7 linked regions of the Bombyx mori genome follow. The protein of the gene in region 4 purifies or fractionates together with the protein of the main gene of each other region. This does not show direct contact. Links are inferred from orthologs where the notes say so. Each region holds a gene or a part of one and is shown on either strand. Other genes may lie near its edges.

What was found.
Region 1: the proteins of ruvB-like 2 (region 4) and 116 kDa U5 small nuclear ribonucleoprotein component purify together in Homo sapiens (affinity purification with mass spectrometry; 5 studies listed by BioGRID and IntAct, with this or other methods). This does not show direct contact. The link is inferred for Bombyx mori from reciprocal best matches to the Homo sapiens genes RUVBL2 and EFTUD2.
Region 2: the proteins of ruvB-like 2 (region 4) and protein SHQ1 homolog purify together in Homo sapiens (affinity purification with mass spectrometry; 4 studies listed by BioGRID and IntAct, with this or other methods). This does not show direct contact. The link is inferred for Bombyx mori from reciprocal best matches to the Homo sapiens genes RUVBL2 and SHQ1.
Region 3: the proteins of ruvB-like 2 (region 4) and putative RNA polymerase II subunit B1 CTD phosphatase RPAP2 purify together in Homo sapiens (affinity purification with mass spectrometry; 3 studies listed by BioGRID and IntAct, with this or other methods). This does not show direct contact. The link is inferred for Bombyx mori from reciprocal best matches to the Homo sapiens genes RUVBL2 and RPAP2.
Region 5: the proteins of ruvB-like 2 (region 4) and armadillo segment polarity protein purify together in Homo sapiens (affinity purification with mass spectrometry; 5 studies listed by BioGRID, with this or other methods). This does not show direct contact. The link is inferred for Bombyx mori from reciprocal best matches to the Homo sapiens genes RUVBL2 and CTNNB1.
Region 6: the proteins of ruvB-like 2 (region 4) and DNA-directed RNA polymerase II subunit RPB2 purify together in Homo sapiens (affinity purification with mass spectrometry; 3 studies listed by BioGRID and IntAct, with this or other methods). This does not show direct contact. The link is inferred for Bombyx mori from reciprocal best matches to the Homo sapiens genes RUVBL2 and POLR2B.
Region 7: the proteins of ruvB-like 2 (region 4) and ARP6 actin-related protein 6-like protein purify together in Homo sapiens (co-immunoprecipitation; 7 studies listed by BioGRID and IntAct, counting the BioPlex papers as one, with this or other methods). This does not show direct contact. The link is inferred for Bombyx mori from reciprocal best matches to the Homo sapiens genes RUVBL2 and ACTR6.

Annotation. Positions count from the first base shown.
Region 1 is NC_085121.1:1,483,803-1,487,991, forward strand, and holds the start of 116 kDa U5 small nuclear ribonucleoprotein component, read right to left. Parts: upstream 2,801-4,189; 5' UTR 2,668-2,800; coding exon 2,477-2,667; intron 2,248-2,476; coding exon 2,018-2,247; intron 1,529-2,017; coding exon 1,277-1,528; intron 1,007-1,276; coding exon 749-1,006; intron 320-748; coding exon 78-319; intron 1-77. Other genes in the region: nucleolar complex protein 4 homolog B, read left to right, coding at 3,242-3,364, 3,460-3,568. UniProt on the Homo sapiens protein: Required for pre-mRNA splicing as component of the spliceosome, including pre-catalytic, catalytic and post-catalytic spliceosomal complexes. Component of the U5 snRNP and the U4/U6-U5 tri-snRNP complex, a building block of the spliceosome.
Region 2 is NC_085132.1:6,847,900-6,852,196, reverse strand, and holds protein SHQ1 homolog, read right to left. Parts: upstream 2,801-4,297; 5' UTR 2,547-2,800; coding exon 1,149-2,546; 3' UTR 417-1,148; downstream 1-416. UniProt on the Homo sapiens protein: Required for the quantitative accumulation of H/ACA ribonucleoproteins (RNPs), including telomerase, probably through the stabilization of DKC1, from the time of its synthesis until its association with NOP10, NHP2, and NAF1 at the nascent H/ACA RNA.
Region 3 is NC_085121.1:1,520,202-1,523,782, forward strand, and holds putative RNA polymerase II subunit B1 CTD phosphatase RPAP2, read left to right. Parts: upstream 1-1,126; coding exon 1,127-2,929; 3' UTR 2,930-3,081; downstream 3,082-3,581. Other genes in the region: uncharacterized protein LOC101736188, read right to left, coding at 842-844.
Region 4 is NC_085117.1:3,013,533-3,017,032, reverse strand, and holds part of ruvB-like 2, read right to left. Parts: intron 3,316-3,500; coding exon 3,219-3,315; intron 1,694-3,218; coding exon 1,562-1,693; intron 393-1,561; coding exon 280-392; intron 1-279. UniProt on the Homo sapiens protein: Possesses single-stranded DNA-stimulated ATPase and ATP-dependent DNA helicase (5' to 3') activity; hexamerization is thought to be critical for ATP hydrolysis and adjacent subunits in the ring-like structure contribute to the ATPase activity.
Region 5 is NC_085116.1:12,303,011-12,307,180, reverse strand, and holds the start of armadillo segment polarity protein, read right to left. Parts: upstream 2,801-4,170; 5' UTR 2,660-2,800; intron 2,613-2,659; exon of another isoform or gene 2,416-2,612; intron 2,374-2,415; 5' UTR 2,343-2,373; coding exon 2,306-2,342; intron 2,234-2,305; exon of another isoform or gene 2,066-2,233; intron 1,631-2,065; coding exon 1,506-1,630; intron 650-1,505; coding exon 544-649; intron 415-543; coding exon 204-414; intron 73-203; coding exon 1-72. Other genes in the region: uncharacterized protein LOC101744306, read left to right, coding at 4,001-4,170. UniProt on the Homo sapiens protein: Key downstream component of the canonical Wnt signaling pathway.
Region 6 is NC_085110.1:13,230,051-13,234,082, reverse strand, and holds the start of DNA-directed RNA polymerase II subunit RPB2, read right to left. Parts: upstream 2,801-4,032; 5' UTR 2,661-2,800; coding exon 1-2,660. UniProt on the Homo sapiens protein: Catalytic core component of RNA polymerase II (Pol II), a DNA-dependent RNA polymerase which synthesizes mRNA precursors and many functional non-coding RNAs using the four ribonucleoside triphosphates as substrates.
Region 7 is NC_085108.1:3,056,634-3,060,686, reverse strand, and holds ARP6 actin-related protein 6-like protein, read right to left. Parts: upstream 2,773-4,053; 5' UTR 2,565-2,772; coding exon 1,880-2,564; intron 1,349-1,879; coding exon 849-1,348; 3' UTR 501-848; downstream 1-500. UniProt on the Homo sapiens protein: Required for formation and/or maintenance of proper nucleolar structure and function. Plays a dual role in the regulation of ribosomal DNA (rDNA) transcription.

The sequences.
Region 1 (4,189 bases), on a different chromosome or scaffold from region 4:
TAACGGGTCCGGTATCTGCAGGGTCAATCCATGGATTGTTGATATTTTCTAATTAATTATTATTTACAATCAATTACTTGAGCAAAAATCTTGTACAGCGGCTCCAATATGAACTCCACGAAGCTTCTCTGAGCAGAGGCATGAGGTTGTTTCTTCGTGAAGCGTCTAGTCTTCGCGTTGAAGTAGACATCGCCCCACAGCCAGCCCGCCATGTCGGATGCCCGCAGTCCGCACGCAGGGTACGAGGCAGCGTACATCGCCGCAAACGATTCCAGAGAGAAACACACGTCGTACAATGTTGACGCGAAGCAGACATTACCTGGACAACAGTATACTCATTCAACTTAGCAATCGCCTTAAAAATGGATTAAAGTATTCATTTCTCTTATTTGTGTAGATGGCTACATAATTACCATTTGAATTCACATTTGGTCCAAAGAGTACTTTATGGTAGGCAGCGGCTTGGCTCTGCCCCTGGCTAAGCTGACGTCCATGAGCGACGGTGACCACTTACCATCAGGTGGGCCGTATGCTCGTCTGCCTACAAAGGCAATAAAAAAATAAAAAAAATAAAAATGAAAAAAAAAAACAACTTTTGGCAATGTTCTGTACCTTATCTAAGACACAATGTTTATTTGAAATTGATCCATTCCAATTGACATGAAACTTAGTACAGTACAATTGTTGTTACTTATACTCCAGGTATGGTTGGTGACAAACCTGGCTATAGGAGATACTAATAACTTACCCAGAAGTGGTGAAAATACAATTGGAGGCTCATCAGGATTATCCTGAGGTTGATTGGTCTCCAGCATAGAATTCAGCTCATCAATAATATGCCTGAGCTTATAATAGGCATCTGCAGGAGGTAATTTTAGCTCAAGCATTAGCCTGTCTATTTTGTTGATGCAAAGAGTTAAATGAATTCTTTCTTGTACTGCATGACGTAACATTCGCTCCGTGTTGAGCATTATACCTTCAGCAGCGTCCACAAAGAGTACCGCTCCTATAAAAGACAAAATTAACCTGTATTTGTTTATACTGAAACCTCTTTTTAAAAAATATTTTAAAATGAATTTTCATAGGCAGCATTTGTGAAGCGTGTACATTTTTGATAATAACCTCAACAATTAAAAATGCTCAGATGTCGACTTATGGTTATAATGTCAAATAAAGAAACACACATGACTTTGATTGTTGGTTAAATTGCTTTTATGAGTATTGAGAATTGATAAGTATTTCACAAATAAGCTTTCCTCTTCAGTAAAAAAATTACCATCCGATATCCGCAAAGCAGCAGTCACCTCATCACTGAAGTTCACGTGACCTGGAGTATCCATGATATTCAATAAATGTGACTTTCCCTTTATATCCTTCAATAGCAATGTTACCGGCATGGACTTTATCGACACTCCTCGCTCTTGCTCCACAAACAGAGTATCTGTATACCTTATAGGTATTGTTGTCTCATTGTTAATTGTTCCAGGATGTGTCTGTCTCATGAGACAGTCTACAAAAGATGTTTTTCCTGAAATAAAACAGTTTTAAGAAGATCAAATAACACTCACTAATTTTCGATAGGAAATATGAAATTTCTTTTTCTGATCTGCACATTTTTTTATTTTTGTTACTAAATCCTATTTTAGATTAATATTGATCACTTAAATCTTAGTCTTTTCTTCAGTTTTCTTGCATTTAATCATCATCATCATCATCATCATCATCATTTCAGCCTATCGCCGTCCACTGCAGAAAATAGGCCTCTATATATAATAATAATAATATAATTCCAATAGTTTCATTTTATTTTATTCAATACACTTTAAAGATTTTACGGTTATCTGTGTGTACATAGTATAAAGTAGTTTTTATGAAACTCAACATTATAAGTTGAATGGTAATTATAGAAAATGTAATAATAATAATCAAATTAATTTATTATTAACAAATAAAAGCTCTACAAAAAGCTCATGGATGACTTGTCTCTTATTTATTTCATTGAAATCACATCACATACCATTGTGCAAGTGGCCCATTAACGTAATATTTCTGATTAAGTTAGTATTATCTAACATGTCAGCCATGTACTCCATGTCGTAGGTGGTCTCTGGTAGCTGCTGTTCTTGAACCTGGAACTTCTTGTGTTTCACAGGCTCTACCAGGGGTTTGTCGAGAGCCTGTGTATCTTCTTCTTGGACGACTGTCTCTACGTCGGGTCCATACACTTCTACAGCTTGAGGATAGTAACTGAAGTTTGATGGTTAATAATGTTATTATTAATCAATAACTAATTTTAACAAATACCAAAACAGAGCATAGCTTTTCTCAGTACTTTTTTCTTTGTTAAAAATATTAGGTATTCGAGGTCTGAGTGTGCTTGTTCTATGGTCTAGCATGTGCGTCGCTAGTACCGGTAAAGTGGGTTAACATCTTGTAAGGCCGCTTTATTTGTTAGTTTTAAATGAAAAAGTTTTACCGTTTGTCCTCATGAAGAACGACGGACATAGGCGCAACTTCGGGCTCCGCGTCTGCGTCCTCGTCCTCCTCCATTGCTTCCTCATCACCTTCACGATTATCCTGACCATATACACTCTGTTCGTCTTCAGAATCAGACTCCAAGTCTGGCCCGATGTAGTTTCCAAATTCGTCATATAAATCTCCGTCCATTTTTAATATTGATAACTATATTTTGAAAATATTTCCGAAAAATAATTATCCAAAACAACTGCCGATGCTCTAAAGATTGTTTTGAACAAGTTTTGACTTTGACAGCAAGATAACCTTAAAATCTGGTTTCATTTCTAAACGAAAATAAACGAATTGGACTGTATGAAAAAAACATAGGTAAAGAGCAGCACTAATAATTTAGCAATGTTTTAATACTATCAAAAAATATCATTTAAATGTCTTATGGTTAGTTTTTAAACTAATATTTCGTAATAATATTTGTGTATTTTCACAGAGATTATTTTAATGCAAGCTTACATTGTTGCTCTAGTGGTTTGTTTTTTTAGATAATATAGTTAAAACGATTAAAAAGATTTGATGTGAACCTACTTTAATATAAAGCTATTAATTCTGATTTTGATTTCAATTAATATATTTTTAGAAAATAAAATAAGAGTTTCCTAGGCACAGGCATGTTCATTAGTCGTTTACCTAATTACTAAACGAAACCATATTTTCTAAGGTTGCCCGCCTGATCAGTTGTCACTTTTTGTCAATCCTTTTCAATACAAAAATGGCTGCTGTGCAACAAAATTTTTCGAAAATGATTTCGGGACAGCTTCGTAATAAAGCAAATGAGTTTCTTAACTCCAGAAAACATGCGAACAATCTTGCTGATATATTGCAGATGTTTGAGGTGAGCATGAAATCCCTTGTTCATTTAGTACAACGAAAAATGTAATGCGTCATAGGTTACATTTGTAATTCGTGATTTTAACATTTATATTACAGGTCGAAACAGACAATTATACGCCGCTAATGCTTACAATAGAAGTAATATTCACCGAACTATTAAAACGGGGCGATTTAGTCCAGGAAATAGTTCCATTAAAGCCTGCAGGTATGATTTTGTTTTGCCGCACGAAAATGTGTTTTTGAATTGAATATATCGATTTTAGCATGGTGCGAACCTGACTGTACGTAGATATACGTTGTGTTTACGTAGTATGTAAGCTGTGTTACGTTGCGAAAAATGTTGCTGTCTAAATTTGTCAATTTAGCTGCATACTAATTGACATTTGCTTTTAAAAAACATTTGAATAAATATATGAAATACTGCAATTATTGCAGTTGAACCGTAATTACGAAGCTAACACGTTGGGATTTTAAGTACTAACGATTCAGTTTTTAATTGAAAAAAAAAGTAGTCATATAAATATATTTTTTACTAAATAAAGTTTGCAATTTGCTATTGTGTGGGCTGTCACTAGTTTCAAGGTCGTTTCTGTAGATATGTTTGTCTATTTAATTATCTTCAGGTTTAGTTATCTTATTTTATAACTTATTTTGTCAAAATTAAACTCAATGTGAAGCTATCATTAGCATATTTTGAATCAAAATCTCAATTGTGTTAGTTGCTTGATAGAAATTAAAATGAATTAAGAAAACTACTCCACACTTTAATGGAGAACTAGACTTTTTAGAAATATATTTTGAAATCAATGTTTTTCCCTGATTATTA
Region 2 (4,297 bases), on a different chromosome or scaffold from region 4:
TATTTTTATTAATTATTATTTAATCAAGTCAACATACCTTAGTCAAATATGTTAGATAACAGAGAAAGGAGCTGACTTTTTAGTAAGTTTTTTAAATCTTAAATCGTCACGTAACACTTGTGACCCCCGGCCCTATGTCACACAATATCACATTCTGTTGATAACCTGCCCCATAACGTGTGACGTAATTTATGGATGACGTGATCTGGAGTGATGTCAAGGAGCAAGCTCAAGACAGGGTCAAGTGGAGACGCAAGCTCAAGACAGGGTCAAGTGGAGACAACTTGTGAGGGCCCTATGTACCAGCAGGGTGCCCTAGGACTACAACAACAACAACAACAACAACAATCTGTTATGGCTATAACTGCCATAAAAACTAGAAACTAACAAAAAGAAAACTAGTAAAATAAATGTGATATTTTATAAACAGTTATTTATTTCACGAAAATGTCAATACATAGATAATTTTGTTTATTAAAAATGTTCTCATTTCTCAACGATTTGGTTAATCAGTTTTTAATATGCTTACTTTAGACTACACTTTGCAGTCAGTAATCGATCATTGATTGCTAATCTAGACTTAGAGATACATGATTAATTTTCTTGAAAATTGAGAAGAAACTGAACACTACTATAGTTTTGCTTAACATAAATAATTGCCTTCTTTAAAAAATGGCAGTGTTACATTATAATAAAATTATTAAATTTCAAGTACCTATGCAGTTTGCAGGAGGCAGTGTGTAGACTCTACAGCCATGCCTATCTTTGCCACAGAATAATAGTGGCTAGGACATTCTATCACTTCAAATCAGGTGGGCTGTGCATTTGTGCACACAACTTTCAAAATAACATTGAAAGTATTGGTTATCAAATGTCTGAAACTCTGCCATAGGTTAAATAGAATTTAATGATGAATTAATATATAATTAAATTTTTTAATTATTATAGAATCTTTCAAACCTTTAAACCAGCCCTTTATTCTCTTGACACTAAACTATTCAGTCTTTCTAACATATTCAAATATCTTAAAATTTATAAAATAAATTCATTAATTGATTGCATGAACCAAATTAAGTGCAATCAAAACATGCAAATTCACACTAATTAGTGTCTTTCGAGAATTGAATTATTTACACTCCTCTTGTTTTTCATGGATCATCATCAGAATCTAGGCCTTCATCAGAGGAATCTTCAGAAGAACTATCATCACTTGAGTCCGTTGAGCTGTCAGTGTCATCATCACTCTCATCAAGGTATGGAGCAATATTCTTTTTCAGTCCCGGTAGTAAAGACATGGAAGCCATTTGGACGGCCATCTCATTCTCCATGATTTCAGTTTCTTCCTGTTTAACCATTTCAGCAGCCATTTCCAATTCATCTAACTCTAAGTTCAAATCTTTTTTACAGAGCTCAATATTAGCTATATTATTGCATATTTCCATGATTTCCTCATTACGACATTTTTGTAAGAACACCAAATAGTCTTTGATATAAAGCTGGTTTAAGATATAACGTGCATCATTACTAGTGTTGAACATTTGATGTACTTCAATCATACATTTTATTACCAATTTCTTGCCTTTACGTAATAGTGATACTAGATCATTCTTTACTTTGTTACACAGCTCATAGTTCCTAAATATCGGATAAGTGAGTGCTCTCCTGTAGCATGCAATCAAAACATGTCTTGTATCTAAGAAAGTGCAGAACCAACTTAGTGTTGAAGAAAGCTTGTTTATGGTCCAGCTTGACTCCACTGTGCTTTCATTTAATGTTGTTCTTTTGTCGTAGCAATACCCAAACAAGATATCTATTAATCCGAGCATAATTTCTCTATACTCTTCTTTGCTTAGCAAATAATGCTTGTTTGGCAATTCTTTTAATATGGCTACTTCTTCATCTGTAAATTCTACTTCATTTTTGAAATCCCCTTTGTCCCAATAAGAAGTGGATGATAAGTAGGGTGCAAGAAGTTCATCATCAAAAAAGTCTGCTAGATAATGATCAGACGAGAATTTATCATTTTCATGTTTCATCCTCATAGAATTACGTTCGTCCACAGCAACATTTTCAGGTGCTTTTAATTCAAAAATTTGTGGAAATTCATTTCCGATGCTGCAAAATTCATTGGATATTTTATTAGCAAAGCCATATGTGAATTTTTCTAAGTTCTCACTGTCACTATCATTTTCCAGGGTAATTCCATCTTCTTCAAGCATTTCAACTAGATTAGGATTGACATCTGGTATATCACGAGGTGCTAGTAAATTTGTGATCATATCAAGGTTCTCAAAATGTTCCCCGGCAGTTTCTTTTTCAAATGTGAGATTGAAGTCTCCCGAATCACAAGTGTATGAACCTTTTGCCCGATCATCATCAACGATCCTGCCAGGTAATCGCAATCGAAGGAAGTAAGGACTAGACACAAAAAGGAAATTTTCGCCATCAACATCTATTTCTGTATCTCCAATGTTTGTATACGGTGCGTGAACTGTTACGAATATGTGGTTGTCGTCTTGCGTTAATTTAAAACGTGGAGTAAGCATGATGTATACTATTGATCTTCTAGTCAGGCACCAACTGCCTTTGTTTAGTATTAAAACTGATTGCGATGCAGTCAAACAATGGACTGATTCACAAAAAAGTAACAAGTTCGTTACTTCGGTACCGTGGACTTGATATATCTTAAGATTTAACCCTCATAAAATAATTAGGTAGAAGCTATTTCGTTAACAAACAATGAAACAACGCATGGTAATCCCCCTCCGGCATAACGGAAACATCCGTTTGACATTTGTCATTTACATTTGACATTTACACTAATCACTGAAGATGCGCGATACGTATCGACATTATCGAGTATCGATGTAGTGTTACGCGGTGCACGAAATTTTGTTTCGATAGAGTATCGAACAATGCTATAGCAATGCATATCGAATCCAACGTTGATTATATGATGATGCATAATCACCAGTTTTCAGAACTATTTAAACTTCACTATGATTATAACCGATACGTGAATATTTTAAGGTTGCATCAGAACGCTACGTCGACAAAGGGCCCGACTAACCCACTTATCGTAGTCACTGCCAGTTACTTTTACGATCCAGGTGACGGCGCAACTTATAGCCGCTGTCATTCCAAAGATGCCTTGTCGGATCGCCCGAATCCACTCCAGGTGCTTTCAGGCTCTTCAAGCAACGGTCACCGTTTTCATGAAACCTCAATTTCGACGAACAGTTCGACGACTGAACTAACCCATAGAAATATCCCATTGAGTTTCTCGCCGGATCTTCTCAGTGGGTCACGATTCCGATCTAGTACTATATTCTGCGAAGTGCTGCTCTTGCAGCACTAGTTTTATCTTGTTTTAACACTAGTGTTAGGTGTAAAATTCTCTTAGGTTGAGCCCATGAGCTCACCTACCCATCTGTACATAGCTATAATAGCCCTTTAAGCTGAAAGGACAATGCTTTAAAATGGTCGTATCGGTCTTTGAGACTAGTAGTAGGATCCAAGCTAAGAACATAATTATCGTCATTTATTAATTGACGCGACGTCGTTGCTTTTGGAATGCTTATTTTCTACAACAGAAAAAGGTAAACGGTCTCGATATTTAGTTTATTTTATTTTATAAGCACTATTTGTAAAAAGGAAAACATCGTCTTCATCAATAAAAATTGCCATTTTTGGCCATCTCTACTTAAAACCAGAGTATGTCAAACTTATTTTTATTTCTTTATTCACTCTTGATTATGCAAAGGAAACATAAGCTATAGATACCGTGCAGAGTTACATGAAATGAAATAACATCTCAGTAATTTGGTAGGAAATTATAAGAAGTTCAATGCAGTTGAATGAATTTGAAAGAACACTACAAACAGCGTTCCGTGATTTTGTTTCAAAATTGTGCATTTTCTTAAATACTAAACGTTTAATAAGAAACTAATATTACACGTTTACAAGATGCACCAAATAACATAACATAATCATAATAATAACAAAATAAAACAATTCAGATTATTTCCTCGAGTTCCTAGCTAGAATTCTTAATAGTTTTTCATTTTGTTGAAAGTAAAGTACATACTAAATGCAACATTTCAACTGCAATTGAAACATTTCAAGTATACTTTGCTACTGAAAGAAATATACGTAAGGTTGAAACCAAAATGAAAGTAACAATTAAACTGGAATGAAACGAAATTAATTTTATCAACTTCTTGGCAAGACTCAAAAATAAAATCACTATATAAATAGAAATATGTACTATGTTTGAGCCTCTTAACCTTTTTATAAT
Region 3 (3,581 bases), on a different chromosome or scaffold from region 4:
CAGCTACAAATATTGCATCTGACTATAAATTATGATTTTAAATTGTATACCAAATTAAAGCCTAACTGACGAGTCTGAGAGCAATTTCTAATTAATACAAAATACAAATCATACAAATGAATTGTCAAATAGACAAGTCTGTTAATAAATACTAGACTAAAATACTATGGATCATTATGGATGTGTGTACCTAGTACGCAAGTATTGTCTAGTACTATACTACTGATCCGTTAATGTATATCCTGGATCTTAATAGTTTTATTAAATAATATCATGTCCAACGCTTAAACGACGCCAGTCCAATCCGTAATAACTTTGTAGGCTTATAGTTTCGGACAGATATTGTCCAGCCGAGCGGAACAGATAAATCAAACAAACAAAACCAAAGCTTTTCGAATTATTCTGAATAGTTGAAGAACCGTTTCGAAATAAACAATTCGGCTTAATATTTCCACGTGAGTTCATTCATACTTTAGTCTATATATGAAAACTATTCAGCAGTAGGCGAGCTGTATCCCATCTACTGATATAGATTTTAAAATTGCTTCAGCATAAGGCAATCAAAAATAAAACGGTTACAACTTGATGATTTCATAATTAAATCATTATGGTTACCGGAATTGTGGATTAAAAGACTTAAGATTTACTGACGTGTCCGACGGACTGAGGAACTAGTAAATAAAGCTTAACCTTGAGAGACGACTAACCAGACCGCCATTAATAATGCACAGGGTAAATAATAGTACCAGAATATGTTGAGGAAATCAGTTCAGTCTATTCCATTTACATAATCTATGCATGTCTAGGACCCAATCCAATTTAAAAAAAATCTAATACTAACCATAGATTTAGACACGTAACCTACTCCCAACCTGAGTTCTGAGTTTCTGAGTGAAATGAAATTGACATCTGACTTTTGCTAACATGAAAGAAAAAGCATTGTGTGAATTAACGTTGTAGGTACTTATTAACTCCATGGAATTAACATAATATATTAAGTGTATTATCTACGGTTCATGGAACAGACAAGGCTTATGGGCTTAGATCCTTTTGCCTTTCCTAATAAGGAAAAATTGTACCAAAAAAAATAACTATGGTTCTGATCTGAAATAAAAATAACAATTTTATGAATAAAATGGAAACAAACGTGAAGCCTCCTAAAAAAAAACCTACAACAATAGAAGACCTCACGAAAGAACAAATTCAACAAGCGATAATTAAGAAACGAGAGTGTAACTCAAAAGCGCAACATATAGTTGAAAGTTTTCTAGAAAATAGCATAAACGAAGTTTATTTCCTCAAATGCTTACCAGACCTAAACCAGTCTCATTTCGAAGATGTTATTGAAGAACGATCAATCATAAGTCTATGTGGTTACCCGCTCTGCTCGAACACATTATCCAAGAAAGACATACCGAAGCAAAAATACCGAATCTCCATGAAAACGAACAAAGTATATGATATTACAGTTAGAAAAAGCTTTTGCAGTAATAGTTGTTATAAATCTGCCATGCACATTAAAAAGCAGATGCTAACAAGCCCGCTTTGGTTTAGAGAATATGAGATAATCCCACAATTTAATTTATTACCAATGAATTCGGCAGATGGTTGCATGGGACAGGAGATTGATGTGTCAATAATTGACAGAGTGAAAGTAGAACTTGAAAACAAGCCTTTCGTAGTTACCAATGGTTTTGTAAAAGCTACTCTTAGAGATATGGCATCAAATAATGGTAAAGATGATGTATATAATAAAGCTACTGAGGAGCAAAATGAACAAAACTTTAAATTAAGTACAGAAAGTACTGAACTGGATGAAAAAGAAATGAAGCATAAAGACAGCGTAAATAAAGCATCAGAAGGGAAATCCTATATCTTAAATTCAGAATCAAATTCTGTTCAAACACAAAAGTATCTACAGGAAAAATCTTGTCCTGTATCAGTGAAGTCTGAAAATACTGATAAAATGAAAAAAGCAGTATACAATCCAATGAACATTGTCGGAGATATCATAGAAAAACCTGAGAAGAAAATTGATTTGACTTTACTAAGTGCAAAGGATGAACAAAATAACGCAAGCTCATCTCTATCTCAAGAAAAAAAGAAAGAGAAAAAGCCATTAGTGACTGTATTAATTGTAGAAGTGGAAAAATGTCTAGCAGAATGGTTTACTTTAGACACATTAATTTTTCTCTATGGCGAAGAGAAAGTGAGAGAAATGGTATCAGATAAAGAAGACAGTGTGAAAGAATATCTGAAAAATTTTACAAAAGGTACATTCTACAATTCCACAGCCTATGATCAATACCAAGCTTTATGCAGAAAACTTAATATGCTCGAATTAGAAGACAAACGTTATGATGCCAAAACAATGCAAAGGGAAATGAAACCGCTGCCAGATTACACTATACTACAGGAAGAAAGCAAGAAAATACAATTGAAAGTAAAGGCGTTTTTTGCTGGTCAAACTGAAATACCTGAACCAGAGCCTGAAGAAAAGAACACACAATCAGATGAGAACTTCACAGCTTTGCCATTAGTAGACAAGAATTCTCAAAATGCATTACGTAGACGAATAGTCTGTCAACATTTAAATAAGACCCTACCGGACATCTTGAGGTGCCTAGGTTTATTAAGTTTGGCCATAAGCACAGAGGTGCGTCTTTTGGTAAACACATTCAAATTGAAAGCAAATAATATAATGTTTAAGCCGATTCAGTGGACTATGATTACCATAATATTTATAAAACTTCTATCATTAAGAGATGTACACTTGGCACACTTATTGGAGCAACCAATGGCATACCAACATATTCAGTTGTTACTCTTGAGTTACAAACAAGATAATGGCTATTTAGATAGACTAATATTTTGGCTGACCGATGTTGATAGATTATTGAATACAAACAGTCACTGTGCTATAGAATGATTGTATGCATAATCTTACTGTAACATTAATGTAACTTGTGATATTTTAGATTGTAAATACTTGTTTTGTTCAAAACACTTTTTTTTAATTCAAAATATTGTTGTTTTAGTTTCATGGAATATAAACTTGCCAGAGTAATATTTATCAATAAACTCGCAAAATTTTTATTGCATTGATAATGCAGAAGCTCACAACTCAGCCAGTATAAAAAAAGGGTTCGTGTACTTATGTACGCTCGTAAGAAGTTATACTTTATTTTTATTAAATTTATTCCCTTTTTTTTTAGATATTAAATAATTAATAATAAATATTTAACGTTAATAATTTAATAATATTTAGTATGAATTATATTAAATAATAATTTTGTCATTTATATTACAAAAAATAATGCTGATAACACTTCTTTTTACGAGTGTACATGCGCGAAAGTTCACCTGCGGCTATATTCAGACCCGCCAAATTACGTCGGTAGATTTAGTGGGCAACTTCATTCTGTTAATTTTGTGTCACGGTGCGCGCGCATCGTAAAATTTCACTCTCATCAATTTTTCATAACGCGCCTAAAGAAGTATATATAACTTCAACAGTTACTGGACCCCATAAACATTACAAATTTAGATGCCATTGTGCTACTTGAGTCATGAGATTCTAG
Region 4 (3,500 bases):
CGAGTCCGCGCGGGTAGGTACCACTTCTCTGCCTGTTTCAGCCGTGAAGCAGTAATGCGTTTCGGTTTGAAGGGCAGCTGTTGTACTGTTAAAAATGAGACCTTACAACTTATATCTCAAGGTGGGTGATGGCATTTAAGTTTCAGATGTCTATGAACTCCTGTAACCACTTAACACCAGGTGGTTTGTGACCTCGTCCACCCATCTATGCAATAGAAAAGAACTCCATCCCCCTATAAAAATCACCACCCGTTCTATGTTAGACAGAAAAAAGATTACCTCATCGATGAATAGCACCCCCGGAATCATTTCTGCCTTCCCCTCCTCTCTCCACTCAGCCACCTTACTGTTAATCTGCTCCCGAATCTCAGATTTAATCTCGCCCGTGTCGCCTGAGAACACAAAGTCGGTCCGTGGACATCAAAACCTTGGAGGTTTGGGGTCCGGCTAGTTTAGAGACCTTATCACTTGACCAGGTGGAATAACAGACTCTAGAGCTCCAGCCAGGTACTGAAGGAGTGCTGATCTGGAGATCTGACAGTTCAAGGATTTATCCTTCGAGTACATCTATTGGATCAGATCGGCAGGACCCAGCGAGAGACTCAGTTGACTGATGCTACGGTCTAAGACTGGATCCTTTATGTCTTTAAGGGTAAGGACAAAGGGAACATCTTCCACCGAGCAGGATTGATGCGTCTTACGATGTTCCGCCATCTCTCCCTGCTCGAGGTCATTCTACTGCACTCATTTAGGGAACCTCCCACTGCAGTTTTAATTTGGGCTTTCCACCACATTGGTGACCTCTGGAACTTGTATATACGCACATATATCTCGAAAATGTCGTTAGCGAGATTCAGGCATTGATCATTAAGACAGGGGTTCCCAAGCATATTTTGTCTACGGCCCACTTTGAGAATAAATTATTTTTAACGCCCCCATTTTCTCAACTACTTAAAAACCCCTATAGCGAGAGGTCAGTCGGTGACTAAGGGTATCCTAGTTGAAATTACTAATCGCCTCCCAAGCCTCTACACAACGCCCCCCATTTTTTTATCTGGGTCTCTTACAGCCCCCCTTTAGGCCTGCAGCACCCAAAAGGGGGCGTTATCGCCCACTTTGAGAAAGGCTGATTTGAGAGATGTATGTCCCATTACCTTTTGCTCTAGATCAGGGGTGGGCAAATATTTTGATTAGTCAGTTTTTTTTCTAATTTTATATTGTGCGACTATTATACATAGTGTAATAATTGTTCAATTATCATAATTATATTTTCGAATAGGAGGCGCTGAATAGAGCGGTTGTCCGGGAGAAAATTTTCCCACCGGCCCTGATAGTATGTATTGGTATTGCTTAATATTTTATCTAAAAAATTTTATGCAATGTGTTTTTAATAATAATATATTATATACAATGCTTCACGGGCCAAACAAAATTCTACCTCCGCCATTTGCCCAGGCCTGCTCTAGATAGTTTATTAGATAGCATTAAGAGGTATCCGGACAACTGCTCCACCCTTCGACTTACGAAGGCAGTCCTGCCGGTTCAATGCGCACAGACTCACCGGAGAACAGTGCCAGGAAGCCGTGGGTCCTGGAGTTGATGACGTCCACCTCGTGCAGCGTCACCGTGTGCACCACCTCCTTGCGCTTCTGCAGCTCGCCCTCGGGGCACTGCACGAACCTGGCCTGCTGACCTGATTGATGTATACAAATAATAATGTCATATACTATTTATTTGTTACTCACTGAGGGTCGGGATAAAAAAAAAAAAAAAAAGTGTGTGTGTGTGTGTGTGTGTGTGCAAGTCACACGTGGTAGAAGTGAAACATATAAAAATATAAAAATAATCGCAAAGGTCACCCAGCAGTGCAATGGAGCAGTCTCACTCTGGGGGAACCGCCTGCATGATTACGGTATCCCTACGTCAGGTATTTTGTTTTTTTTTTCCTACCTAAGCTGATAGCCTTGAGAGGCTATTTCAGCGGAACCTTAACTAGTAGATGAGCTCACGGGCTCAAACCTGACGACGTTGCTAACACTGGTCCTAGCAAGAGTAGTGCTTCGCAGAATCTATTACCGGATCGGCAATGCGACCCGCTGAGAAGATCCGGCGAGAAACTCAGTGGGCTGTGTCTGAGGGTTAATTTACTCGTCGAGCCTATCGTCGCAAGCGACGGGTTCGACGAAAACGGTGACCGGCGCCAGGTAAGTATGATTTAGCAAGAGAAATACGAGAACGTCTATCAACTGTGTAACATCTCGTCACCGCGACTCAGGAATTGTTGAATTTACGTGCAGCGATATCTGTTGATAACAAGCCAAATATAAATAATTTTAAATCATCTTGTATAGTATGAGGTAGCGCCCTCTATGAATTGATATTTTAACTTCACTTAAAACGTGTTCTATCTGATTCTCTCGCCGGCTGAATCCTATACATATATGTGTTTGTGTCTCTATGGACTTATTTTTTCGTTTCGTTTCATTTCGTTTCATCGAGTTTGAAATCACAACGATTCTAAAGAAGTGACACTTCAAAACTTCCAGCGAAGTACTAAATTAAAACTCTATTAAGCACTTAGAATACTTAAGGAACACTTTATAATTCGCACTTCACTTCTTCCGCTTCGCTTCGAGTAGATTCGAGTCGATTACTAACTGCCTTCGTGTCATCTCTTTTATAGCTTTTATAGCCAGGACAACATCTCTACAATTACCGAGAACATTCCTGGTAGGACCAGTCGTTTCGATAGGTGTTTCCGCTATTTGATAATAGATGCAAGTTACACTTCTCGAGCATTCCCGATTTTATTAGTTCTTTTAATATTCGTTTTTGCTATTCGGCGACAGATGGCATTATTATTATCAGCGTAATAAGAACTTAATGCAAATTATTGTATAATCATCGGTCCTTGACACAAGTGAAAATTTTCAAGTCGATCAAACATCTTAAGCAATTTGAAAGAATCCGTTACATACAATTGATTTGTCAGATTTTTTTTTTATTTTTTTTTTGTGCAGGCATTTTACTATAGGCAGACGAGCATACGGCCTACTTGATGGGAAGCAGTTACCGTCACCCATGGACCTCAGCAATGTCAGGAGCAGAGCCAAGTCGCTGCCTACCGTATATCTAGTGTTTGTTTAAAGATAGGCTCCTTCCAAATCATTCCTTTCACATTGTCTTCGATACATTGGCAATTCAATATAGCTGCTCACCGGTAGCATCATAGTCTCTGGCTCTGGCAAAACTCCTGCCGAGCTTGTTTATTTTGCCTGTAGCCTTGTCTATGGTGATCACATCTCCGGCTTGAACCTGTCAACAAGAAAATCGTTCAGCAACTAGTTCGGACCTAGCAAGCTAGAGTCTAGTCAGCAAGTATGTGGCTTATTTGGTATTAAATAGTTACTGGATCTCATGGACATCAACAAGGTGGTGAGGTTACTTGAACTAGGTTAACTAGGTTATATATTATATTATATACTATAACGAATACAGCT
Region 5 (4,170 bases), on a different chromosome or scaffold from region 4:
ACCATCATGGCAGCTTGGGATACTACTACTTGATCTTCATCATTCAGTAGCTTTATCAACTCTGGAATAGCTCTGAAACAAATTTAAAATCAATAGGAATAGAACAAATGAATAATAATAGTGTAATGTTTTTTTTTTCATGCTTGTTGCCTGATGATCTGATAGAATATCTGGTGTTAGGCTATTATATTACATAATTATACCTGGTAGCTAAATCAGCATCATCTTGATAATTGATGAGGTTCACCACAGCATGCTTTAACATCTGGGAAGGTTCAGCTAAACGCTGGACAGCAGTTGGTTGAGCGGGATCCAGCTGTGTCGATGGAATTTCAATTCCTTCCTCCAGCGTTTCAGGAAACATAGCCGCACGGACTCTTTGAGATCTAGTTTGAGAAAGCTGTTGATTCATATCTGAAAGTAAAGCATATGATATTGAATACAACAATCCAAACAGCTTGTATTGTCATAAGAATTTTTGTGTAAAATTATTTCTATATTGTACATTCAAACGTTTCTAAATGAAATGGGGAAACAACTCACCATCAACTTGTTCTTGAGTGAATCCCTGAGCAAAACCCTGATCAAGGTCAAACATAAGTTGGTCACCTTCCATCTCATCATCTTCCTTGCCAGTTAGTGATGGAACCTGAAGAGAATCATACATTTAACTAAAATAAATTGATGTGACTATTCAAAAAGGTAGGAGTCATCTGATTATCACTCTCAGTCAAGTTACAAAGGTATGGTTATGTATTCTCATAAAAAATCTTTTGTACTTTTGGGAATAAAAAATATTTTTTAAATATCAAATAAAAGTTAGCAATTATCACTATAGCTGATCTTTTGTGCATTTTTATGATATTTTATATTACTTTTCGAGCTGTATACTAAGATTTTAGTTTCATCAGTGCTTAAACAACTATTAAGAAGTACACAAGGCTTGACGTGTACTCTAAAAACTAAAATGCAAGAATATCTTCACACTATAATGGATGGTGTTTTGCTCATATTTACTGTCCTTACTTAAAGAACACAGGCCAGATAAAATCAATGAAATACCATAACAGATTTCACTAATGAAAGTACTGCTCAGTTCAATTCAAAATCTATTTAATATGCAGAAGTAATTTTCAAACTGCTAGTTTGTATGGTTCAGTCACGACTAAATGAGACAGAAAATGTTTTTTCTTTTTCTTTAGATCATTCTACGTTTAACAGTTAAAAGTTCCATGATAAAATCAGCAAGGTTTAGAGCACACGTAGTTCAGGTATCTCATATTATGAAGTGTCATCATAATAAAAAATTTAATCAAACTTCATCATTATTTTGTATATTGAATGACTTATGTTGTTGTATTGATAAAGATAGATTTTCAGTTGTGTCCATCCCAAAATTATGTTAAATTAAGAAGACAAGCCGTATTTTATTTTAATCCAATTTTTATAATGAAATAGGACAATATTACTGCTGTATTTTATAATAGACAGTCTGATAACATTACCTGGGTAGCAGCTCCAGAGTTGATTCCAGAGTCCACTAAATAGGAGTTTTGCTGCCACATCAATGTCTGCTGCTCTTTGTTTGGTGCCATTGGCACATCAGAAGCAACATAGCTGCTGTGCGACACTGTAAAATAATGATGTTTTCTCGTTTTTTATTCACACAAAACAGAGAGATATATATATATTTCTGTAGGAATGTAAGGGGTAGTATGGGTTTAATTTCAAGCGAACATAAAGAGAATTAGTAAGTAGTTGCAGGAGCTAAACTTAAACTAAAATAAAGTGGTTACTTTATGCCATTAATGTGAACTCCACGTCTTTTGACAAGAGATTGAAGTTTCAATTATGTTGAATCCTAATCTTGTTATACCTGTATTTTCATTAATTGAAGAACCTTTTTGAGAGTTCTCAAATCATAACAAATTATATTTCAAATTTCCTTTTAATCTAATTTATTTGCAATTTGTTTAAAAATTGTTTTCAAATAAATGAACTGAGAATGTATGATTCAAAATGTAATTTTTTCCCTCAGTTTCAATTCCAATGTTTTCGTGTTTTAGGATTTCTTTTTCTTTTGCTACTTAGCAGAGAATGTACTGAGATACAGAAAAGTTAAAGTTCATTTATAAATTTATCGTTCAAGTAATGCCATATGCATGAGTCACGATAGACACAAACCGATTCATTCAATTGTATCGAAGTAAGTGGTTTGAACAGCGTTCAGTAAGTACTCAAGCTTTTTGAATGGCAATGATATGATAAATTTACATTTACAAAAGAATCAATATAAATTACTTACTTGTGCGACTTTGCGATGATGGAATTTGATAACTCATGATTTAGACGATGCGACGATGCACCCGTCCCCTGTTGTAAAAAATACCATAAAACATGTCTCCGCTTTGTACGTTATCGATCGATTCATAAGAATTAAAGCATGGTTCACATTAGAACTTAATCACATAAACATTTGCATTTATTTAATGCTTCCCACTAGGAAATACTTTTGGAACAGCGGAAAACAAAACAAATAAGTGCACCATGAACTAAATACCGAACACCACACCCGACCCCATAAAATAACTTGTACTGGTCGAGATATTAAGGTGACTAATATCATTATTTAATTAAAATTAATGCGAATAAAACTTACCTTGGCCGTGCAAGCCAAACAGATTAACTGTTTTCACGACTTTTAAATAATTTTTACAAATTAAATGCACAATATCCGACCCACCGTCACTCGATTCATACAACAACATGGCGGAGACTCGTCGAATTTCGTTTACTTTCAAATGCAGCTGACACTAGTATTGCTACTTCGTTCGCTCTAAGGTATTGCATATGCTTTTATCTCATTTTTTCTTCAAAGGCTCGGGGTGCCAACATAAAGTTCAGGGATAAATTGTAAACAATACGATTCGTGGCACGCAGATTTGTATTTTTTTAATGATGCCTAATTGATTTGTAACTTTTTTATACAGCAGATAATAATTTTACATAATTGTTACGTCATATTATTATATTAAATGACCTAGTTTTAAAAAACCTGATGTACCTGAGCCTTGACCACTGAGTCTACTCCCTGTCTGAAGGTACCTGAGGTCTTATTCCAGCTATGCCCGGACGGGTATGATTTTAAGGGATTGACATGAGTTAGACCACGTGACGTTTCGTTAGCATAGGTAATTATTATTTATTATGTCAATTCCTTAAAATTAAATATAATAAATACGGTACTTCTGTATTTACATATCTAATATTCACATTAACGCTAGTACATTCACAGATAATATATGTACTTAATATTTAAGAGCACACTTTGTCTAGATCCCTAGGTCTATATTGGTTACTAGCTAATATTTAAGTTTTTAGATTAAAGGCGGTTGATTTTATCAGGTATCTTTATCAACTTATGTGAAAATATTTCTAGGTACAAAATTATTTCGAAGCAACATAGTAGGCAGAATCCTGCTTCAAGATCAATGCACGAAATAATGTCATACAAGTTCCGTGGCCGTGAATGCGATGGCGATATTACTTTCAGATTTTTTGTTGGCATCAAAAGCAAAAAAATATCGTGGGTTCGATTCCCAGATCAGGTAAACATTAGTGTGATGAACAGATTTGTTTACTATTTGTTTGGATGTTGATATCCGTATAAATGAATGAAAGTATTGAGCCATTTTAAATGTTATAAACGTACTTTTAAAGGTATAGCTATGTATTTATTTATCTAGTTTGGGGCCAACTGAACATGTGTGATTTCTCCGAGCTAATTTTCTTTTTGTTATTTTGTAATCTTACAATTTGTACGAAAAATTTCGTCTTGACCAGCTGGGTAGTTAAAACATGAAAGCGCAACAAACCACCAATCCCACTTTCGCATTGAATAGTATTATTATGGATTGAAATTGCCAAGATCTTCTGCTTATCGGGACTTTTTTCAAAGTTCGTTTAAAAGAAGCACCTGTCAAATCGTAGACTCAAATGGATGATTTGTGCATATTTTTTATGGTATTTCAATAACACCGACCGTTGTGAAGCAAGAAAACCTCGAATAAATACGTGCTGTATAAAGTCTTCATTATTATTTTACGGAATCAATAAATTAGTATCACCTAAAATGGCCAGCAGTTTATACAATATATCAACGTACAGCCG
Region 6 (4,032 bases), on a different chromosome or scaffold from region 4:
AATCGTTTTGTTGTACCTTCCAACTCATCATCATTTTCTGGCAAAGTTATAGTTTTTCCTATGACAACATCATCACCTGATACTCTAATACCAGGAGCAATAATACCATCATCATCTAATTTGTCATACAGAGCATTCCTCATACCCTGACATGTCTGTCTGGTTGGTTTTTCAAACTGTTCTTCTTGTTCTCCATTTCTTTTAGATTCAGAATCTTTGTATGAACGGTAAAATACGGATCTAAAGAATCCTCTCTCTACAGCAGATGCATTCAAAATAACACTATCTTCTTGGTTATATCCGGTATAACAAAGAATAGCAACAATGGAGTTAATTCCTGCTGGCAATTCTCTAAATCGTAAGTATTCCATAGATCTTGTCGTAACCAGGGGTTTGTGAGGATAATACAAAACATGAGCCAGTGTATCCATTCTAACATGGAAATTTGTGATATAAACTCCCATAGCTTGTTTACCCATAGCACTTTGATAAGTATTTCTGGGACTTTGATTATGATCTGGGAATGGAATAATAGACGCACAGACACCCAGAATCATTGCAGGATGAATCTCACAATGTGTATAAGTAGTACAATATGCATATTCTTTAACTTGATTCAAGTCATCTAAACTCATGGCAATCATCACAGTTTCTTCTTCCAAAGTATCAATATATTCAACTACTCCACTAGCCACCAAATTTTGCCAACCATAGTTATTGTAGTCCTTTTCTTTTAAATCATCTATGTGCTTCTTTTTCAACAATAAGACACCATTATTGACAATAAGTAATGGCCTACAAATTCTACCTGCATCTGTATAGATTCTGATTTCTCTGTCTCTTATATCTCTAATCATACTGACTTCAGAGACAATGATGTCCATATGACGTCTTAGTTTACGTAGTGTAGCCATCAACTGTTCAGGGTCCCTGTGTATTCCTACCCAACAACCATTCACAAATATCTTTGTGGCATCAGCTATAGCTGATGGTGCAATTTCTTCCAAGTTTTCCATTGACCATTCTTCCAAGAACTCCAAAATTGGTGAAGGTTGACTTCCTACTGAGATATAAGCCATTAATGCTAAATTCTTCACTAAGCCAACAGCAGCTCCCTCTGGAGTTTCAGCAGGACAAATCATACCCCATAAAGTATTGTGCAATTGACGTGGTTTAGCAAGTTTACCATCACGTCCAATTGGAGAATTGACACGTCTTAAATGGGATAAAGTAGATGCAAAAGTTAATCTGTTCAACACTTGAGATACTCCAGCTCGGGCCTGATGAGCTTTCTTTTGGTCACCCCAATTACCAGTTGCCAAAGAATAACGAAGACCATCAGTGATGATTTTTGTTTTGATAGCAAGTTCCAAGTTGAAATCTTTTCCTCTATCAATAAATTTTTGAGCATACATTCGGACTTCTTTTAGTAAATTTTTGAATAAGCCTCTAAATAGAAAAGCCAAAAGTGGTCCTGCTAAATCTAATCTTTTGTTGCCATAATGATCTCTATCATCCAGTTCTCTTCGACCCAAAGCAGCTAATAATAATCTGTGTACCATGTAGCCTAGAAAATAAGCTTTTTTTGTTTCACAAAAATCTGATACTCCAACATGTGGCAACATTTCCTTTTGTAAGATTTCTCTAGCATATTTAATACGTCTTTCTTTGGTGACACCTGGGCGTGCTCCTCGGCTTCCAATAAAATTGAGTGCTACATTTTGTTCTTGAATGACAAAAGCCTCATCAAGAGATGGCTTAACCATTTCCATCATTTCTGGATCATCAAAATCATATATAATGTGTTCCAATATATCTCTATCAGCAACAAAACCTAAAGCTCTGAATACAATCATTATAGGTATGTCTTGTTTGATATATGGGACAATTGCCATAATTCTTTGACCAATAGCAGATTTCTTTATATTTTGTCCTCCTCGAGCCATCATATTAACCCATAATGTAGATGTCGGTCTAGAACTATGTTCCAGACATGATCTTATTTCTGTTTTGTAAGCATATTTGCCATCCTTCATGCTGAATACATAGACAGTATTGGTAGCCATTTTTTCCTGTGCAATTAGTACTTTTTCTGATCCATTAATAATGAAGTAACCACCAGGATCTAAGGGGCATTCATTCAATTCTGACAAGTCACGGTCAGTCAAACTGTTTAGTAAGCAATATGTAGATCTAAGCATAATAGGAATCTTGCCAATAAATGTTTTCTGATGTTGCGTTTCAATAGGATCCTCATGTTCTTTCTCTATTGTTTTTGTAATATCAACATATAAAGGTGCCGAATATGTTAAATTACGAAGACGTGCTTCATTGGGCATCATGGGAGATGGAGCTCCATCTTTCTCCCAATGAGTAGGTTTAGATAAATAAATTTGGTCAAATTTAAGACGATATTTTGGTGGTGTTTCCATCTCACCAGAGAAATGTTGTGCTTCTGCTTGTAATTCTATGGGTGGAGAATCTTCAACTATACGTTGTACCGACATTTGAATAAATTCATCGAAGCTATCTAATTGCTGTCTCACTAGACCTTTTTCATCGAAATAAGCGTTGATGACAATCCAACAAGCTTCTTGCCAAAGCTCAGGTGTTATTTCCACATCTTCCTCTTCGTATTGATCATCTTCTGTATCATACATCTTCGCTAAAGCGAGTGTTGTATTTAAAAAATATACTGTAGGCTATTAATGGCCTTTCTGTATTTTCAATTGGAAAATATTAAAGCAAATGCGTCGTCGTCGCCTTTCCTAGGCTCTATTATCTATGGTAGCAAATATCATAGATTAAACACATGCAAATATTATGTGCTTAATGGCTCAGTGAATTTAGCCCCCTTTTTTATTTTGGATTTTTTTATATTTGTTGGCGTGAGGTGATGGTTTGCTTATTAGATATAAAATAATTAATAATTGAGAATTCAATTGTTTTTATGATCGAACAATCACCAATAGTCGTCAAACAAACGATAATTGATCAAAATTAATTAATCTGAGTGATAAAAATAAAGATATCTAGTAAAAGGAGCCAACTTAATGTGATCATTTGTTTAATTAATTATAAATAAATAAAAGACGAACAAAGATTTTTTACATATGAACATTAACGAACAAACAACGGACAAATAATTAAAAATAAAAAAATTTGAAAATCAAAAAAAGAGGGGCCAAATTCAGTGTGCCGTAGGTATAGATCATACACTTAATATTTAAGTTAGTAGGTTATGGCTCTGTAAATTTGGCCCCCTTTTTTTATTTTCGGATTTTTTTTATTTTTAATTATTTGTTCGTCGTTTGTTCGTTAATGCTCGAATGTAAAAATTGTTTGTTCGTCTTTTGTTTATTTATAATTAATTAAATAAATGATCACCGTTAAGTGGGCCCCTCTTACTAGATATCTTTATTTTTATCGATTAATTCATTTTAATTCATTTTGATCAATTATCGTTTGTTCGATGACTATTGGTGATTGTTCGATCATAAAAATAATTAAATTCCCAATTATTAATTATTTTATATTAATGTAATACCGAAATACTTCACGAGATGGCGTTACAAAAAATCCCTTCCCAAAACTATAAAACCGTTGTGATTGTCTACTGAATAGATAATATAATAAATAATATTTATTCGTAGGTGATTGTTTAAGATGTTATGAATATTTCAGTTTTGATTTCATCAAAATAACTTGAACTTTACTACTAAATTCCGAAAAAAATTTTAATTAAGGCTGAGTTAAATTTAGCTTTTTATTTAAGCCTCTTACTGTAGTTTTTGAATTACATTTATGCAGATTGACGTTTCAAAGCTTTCAGATTTCAATTTTAAAATCTGAAATAATTAAGAACAGCGTCATCCACCGTTCACATTTGAAACAGAATTTAATTCGGTTTAAATTTGTAAAAGTTGATGTTGATTATTATTACACTAATTAATTGAGCGTTTCATTAGCTTTTAAGCTGAGTGACTATATACTAGTAATATATTTTTATTCTATTGTCTATTTTTGTTAAGT
Region 7 (4,053 bases), on a different chromosome or scaffold from region 4:
AGAGGTCTAAGGTTTCAGTATAGTTAAAACGACTGCCTCACCCTTCAAACCGGAACGCATTACTGCTTTACGGCAGAAATAGGCGGGTGGTGGTACCCACTTGTGGGGACTCACAAGGGGTCCTACTACCAGTAATTACGCAAATTATAATTTTGCGGGTTTGATTTTTATTACACGATGTTATTCCTTCACTGTGGAAGTCAATCGTGAACATTTGTTAAGTACGTATTTCATTAGAAAAATTGGTACCCGCCTGCGGAATTCGAACACTGTTGCATCGCATTACAATTGAGAACCAATTTAATATAATAATATATAAACATAATTATGACCGCACACGTATAAGCGAAGCCAGTACCGAGGTTATGAGGAAATTCAGAGTAGAAAGAGTATATTAAATTGGCATGCAGGGTATCCCACAAGGAGTATATGAAGCCGAAACGTGGCCACATATCAACAATATAGGTCACATTGAAATGTAAAAAAAATTTCGTAATTAGTAGTTTTATACAGAAAATAATTTATTGTTTCAAGTGTTTTTGAATTTCTACAAGAGTCCCATTAGTATTCGGTTAAATGCAGCAGAAAAAGATAAGACAATAACAAATTACATTACAATTTACATAAAAAATAGTTGGCACATCACCAAAGATAGTTTATTATATCCAAAATAATTAAAAGTGTTCTTCATAGCACATTTCATTTTATCAATTGTCCCATTTCTAGTTACCTTTAAGCCATAAGATCAGATTCTTTCACGGCTTACCAAATCATAATACCCGTTCATTTTCACACAATGTTTAACGAGCAAGAGCCTATTCCGTAGACTTCCTTGCTCGCTTTCTTCGTTATATATCGAACCTTTCAAATGCCAGTGGCTTCCCTTCTTCCTCATACTCTTCCTTAGTCATACAAAACGAATAAAATTCTGGATCACGAAATATATATTTTCCACCTTCCCAAGCATATGTGATCGGGTTGTCTGGTAGTTCAATGTTCACATCAAAATGATCTAAGGCTAAAGAACGCACATCGTTGTAAACTCTGTCACGGAAACCAGGGAATAATGTGTTCCCACCGTATAAAACTATATTTGCCAGTAGGTTTTCCGTATGCTCTTCTGGGCAAGAGTTTATCGAGTGCATGATGGCTTCTGGTATTCCCATCTGTTGGATGCCGACGTCTGAGGGGTGGAACAATAGTTCCGGAATGGAAAACCTCTCATTGTTCAACCGTAATGTCTGTTGTTCCAGGTCCTCTTCTGGTGGGACTATGTCTCGTAGATAACCTCGACGCAAGGATGTGTAGTCAGGCAACACATAGTCTTTTACAATTGCATTCTCTGGTCCTGTAAGCATAATTAGAATAAAAATAACTTTTTTTTAATAACATTAAATAAGTACAGCCAAATGGATATTTAGGTGCAAATTTTTTGTATTGGTGAATATATATTCTCTGAACCTGAAGAGGAGCACTCAAGTCAAGTGGCTCATAGCCAACTCAGTGTTGAGTATGGGGAACTAAACAACATTTCAAAATGAATGCAGCTCTCTCGTCTAGATATAAGATTGCATTTTGTTGGAGAAAATTTAAGGTGGTTTGAGTGCCTATCTTTAGGTGCAGAAAATAACCTAATTTGTCCAATATAATAATATCACAAAAACTATTGGTATATAAACCAATTTGTAGCCACCTGCTGCATAATCAATCAGAATATAAAGCTGTTTTAAAATGGAATTGATTAGCAAAATTATTCATTTTACTTGCACTGTTAGTCATTTGTAATTTTAAGACTAAGCTTCCATTACTAGGCTTCACAATTACATGTTGAATCATGATTAAATGAAACTATAATTCATAACGATGAATTTAAATATACCTTTCTTCTTAGCAATTTCCATATCCGCAAAAAAGTCTTTGGACACAAAACAGGAGTCTTCTTTGACTTGATTAATGACATAGGTTTCATCCATAACGTTCAATTGCCGATACGACAAGATCTCTTTCAAATGATTCGTAAGCACTTTCCCGCCAACATCAATCCTTATAATCGCGTCTTTATATTTTTTGCCATTTATGTATGGAACTATGTAAGTAAAACTATAACCGGAGTCAACTACAACTGTGCAGTCATTTTTATGAGTCCTACGATAATTGTATTCAGCCAGATCTGTAGCATTTATCCGTAACAACGACTGGCATTCGTATTCTTCGAAGAATATTTCCGTCATCGCCTCTTGTATTGAGGCAAAGTTAAAAAGCGGCTCGGTTATGATCAGCGGGGTGTCATTGAAGTTGACTGGGCAGCATTCTTTGCTGAATATGAAGTCCCAGACGGTTTTTTGAGTGTCCCAATTGACTAGAAAACCTTTCTGGAAAGGCAAGATGTAGAACAATCCTGAAGCGTCGCGACACTCGTCAAGCTGAGAGCCTATGAAAGGGCGGCGTCTCTCAGATTTCGCCTTCATAATGCAATTAGGTATTATCCTGGATTTGGAATTGGAGAAGCCAACTTTAGCCGTATAGGCTCCGTTGTCCAATATATAACAAGAGGTCTCGCTCATTTTCGTACCTTTTATTTAAAGGTTACCGGTGATTACTGATTAGATTAGATGTGCATCTTCTTGAGTTGGGTCTGAAATATTACTGTAAGGATGTGCAAAATGGAAATGTTATTTATTTAGGTAGCTTTAAATACGTAACATAAATGTATATTTTCCATTTAATCAAATAATTCATTTAATTTAATCAACAAATCAACTCTTATTTGACTGATTTGATTTTTCCTTAGACAGTTAGAAGACAGGCAAAGGGGATGTAATCAACCACAGATTATAATATATTAGTTACTACCAACGTTAGCAACGATCTCTTTAAAAATCTTTAGCATGTCTTTGGCTAAAAAGGCTGATTCATGTACCTATAGTTTGGAACTGAAACTGAATAAATTTATTAGCACTTTTTAACGGCGACGAGAAGATCGTGGTTGGGTGTATTTTATTGTTATTTGGTGTTGTATTCTTTATTTTAATGTCTGAACGTTGATAATGATGGATTTTAGCCGTTTAGTTTCTATGAAAGTGCACAAGTGTGGGAAAGCGAAAGAAAGTCGATGGAAATGTCACGGATTCTTTAAGAGAAGAAGAAAATATGAGATTACTTCTCTCTTGAATGTTGGGCATTCCATTTAATGGAATGTTCGAAAGACAAGCAAGAAAGGTTTGGTTCAATAGTCTCACTTTCACAAATACTAAACTGTTATTCTATAAGAAACAACATTTTTTTAAAACACTGCACCGGCTGTGATTTTTTCCCTACCTATTCTCTGGTAGAGATGATCGATATTCATCGATGTTGAATAAACATCGTTTTGGTTTCGATAAAATCGACACATGATGTTATGAGAATAGAATATCGAATTATCGAAACGTCCATATATCTTTTAGGGCCATCTAACGGTGGATGAACTTTCTAGCTAGCAAGTCTCTAGGCAGTACAACTATTTTAAACTAGATGACACTGATTAACGTAATAATCAAGCCCTACTACATAAATGTGCTTCAAAACGCATTACTGCCACACCACAGTAGTAAGGAAACTGTAAATTGTGAAATGTGATGTCGGAGTCAAGTCCAATAATTAAGCGACTGCTTAAAATCCGTAAAATGTAGTTTTAATTAATAAGCACGTGTAATAAATAAAATAGACAGTTTTATTTCCTACCAAAAACATCGACACTTTTAAATCGATGTTTTTCTAATATCGATCATCCCTATTTGCTGGTAGCCTTTAGCGCTATGCCAATACGGATGGGTAAGTGAGCTCACAGGCTAAATCTGAGAGAAATTGCTAACACTGGCCCCAGCAAGAGAAATGCTTCGTGTAATCTACCACCGGATCGGAATCGCGAATCACCAAGAAGGTTCAGCGAGAAACTCAATGAGTTGTGTGTATGGGCTAGTTCTCTCGTCGAACTGTGCGCTTGGTGCGAGTTTTTTAACGTTCTCGATAGCGTAAAAGTTAGCTCATATTTGCATGGAATGGAATCGTTTG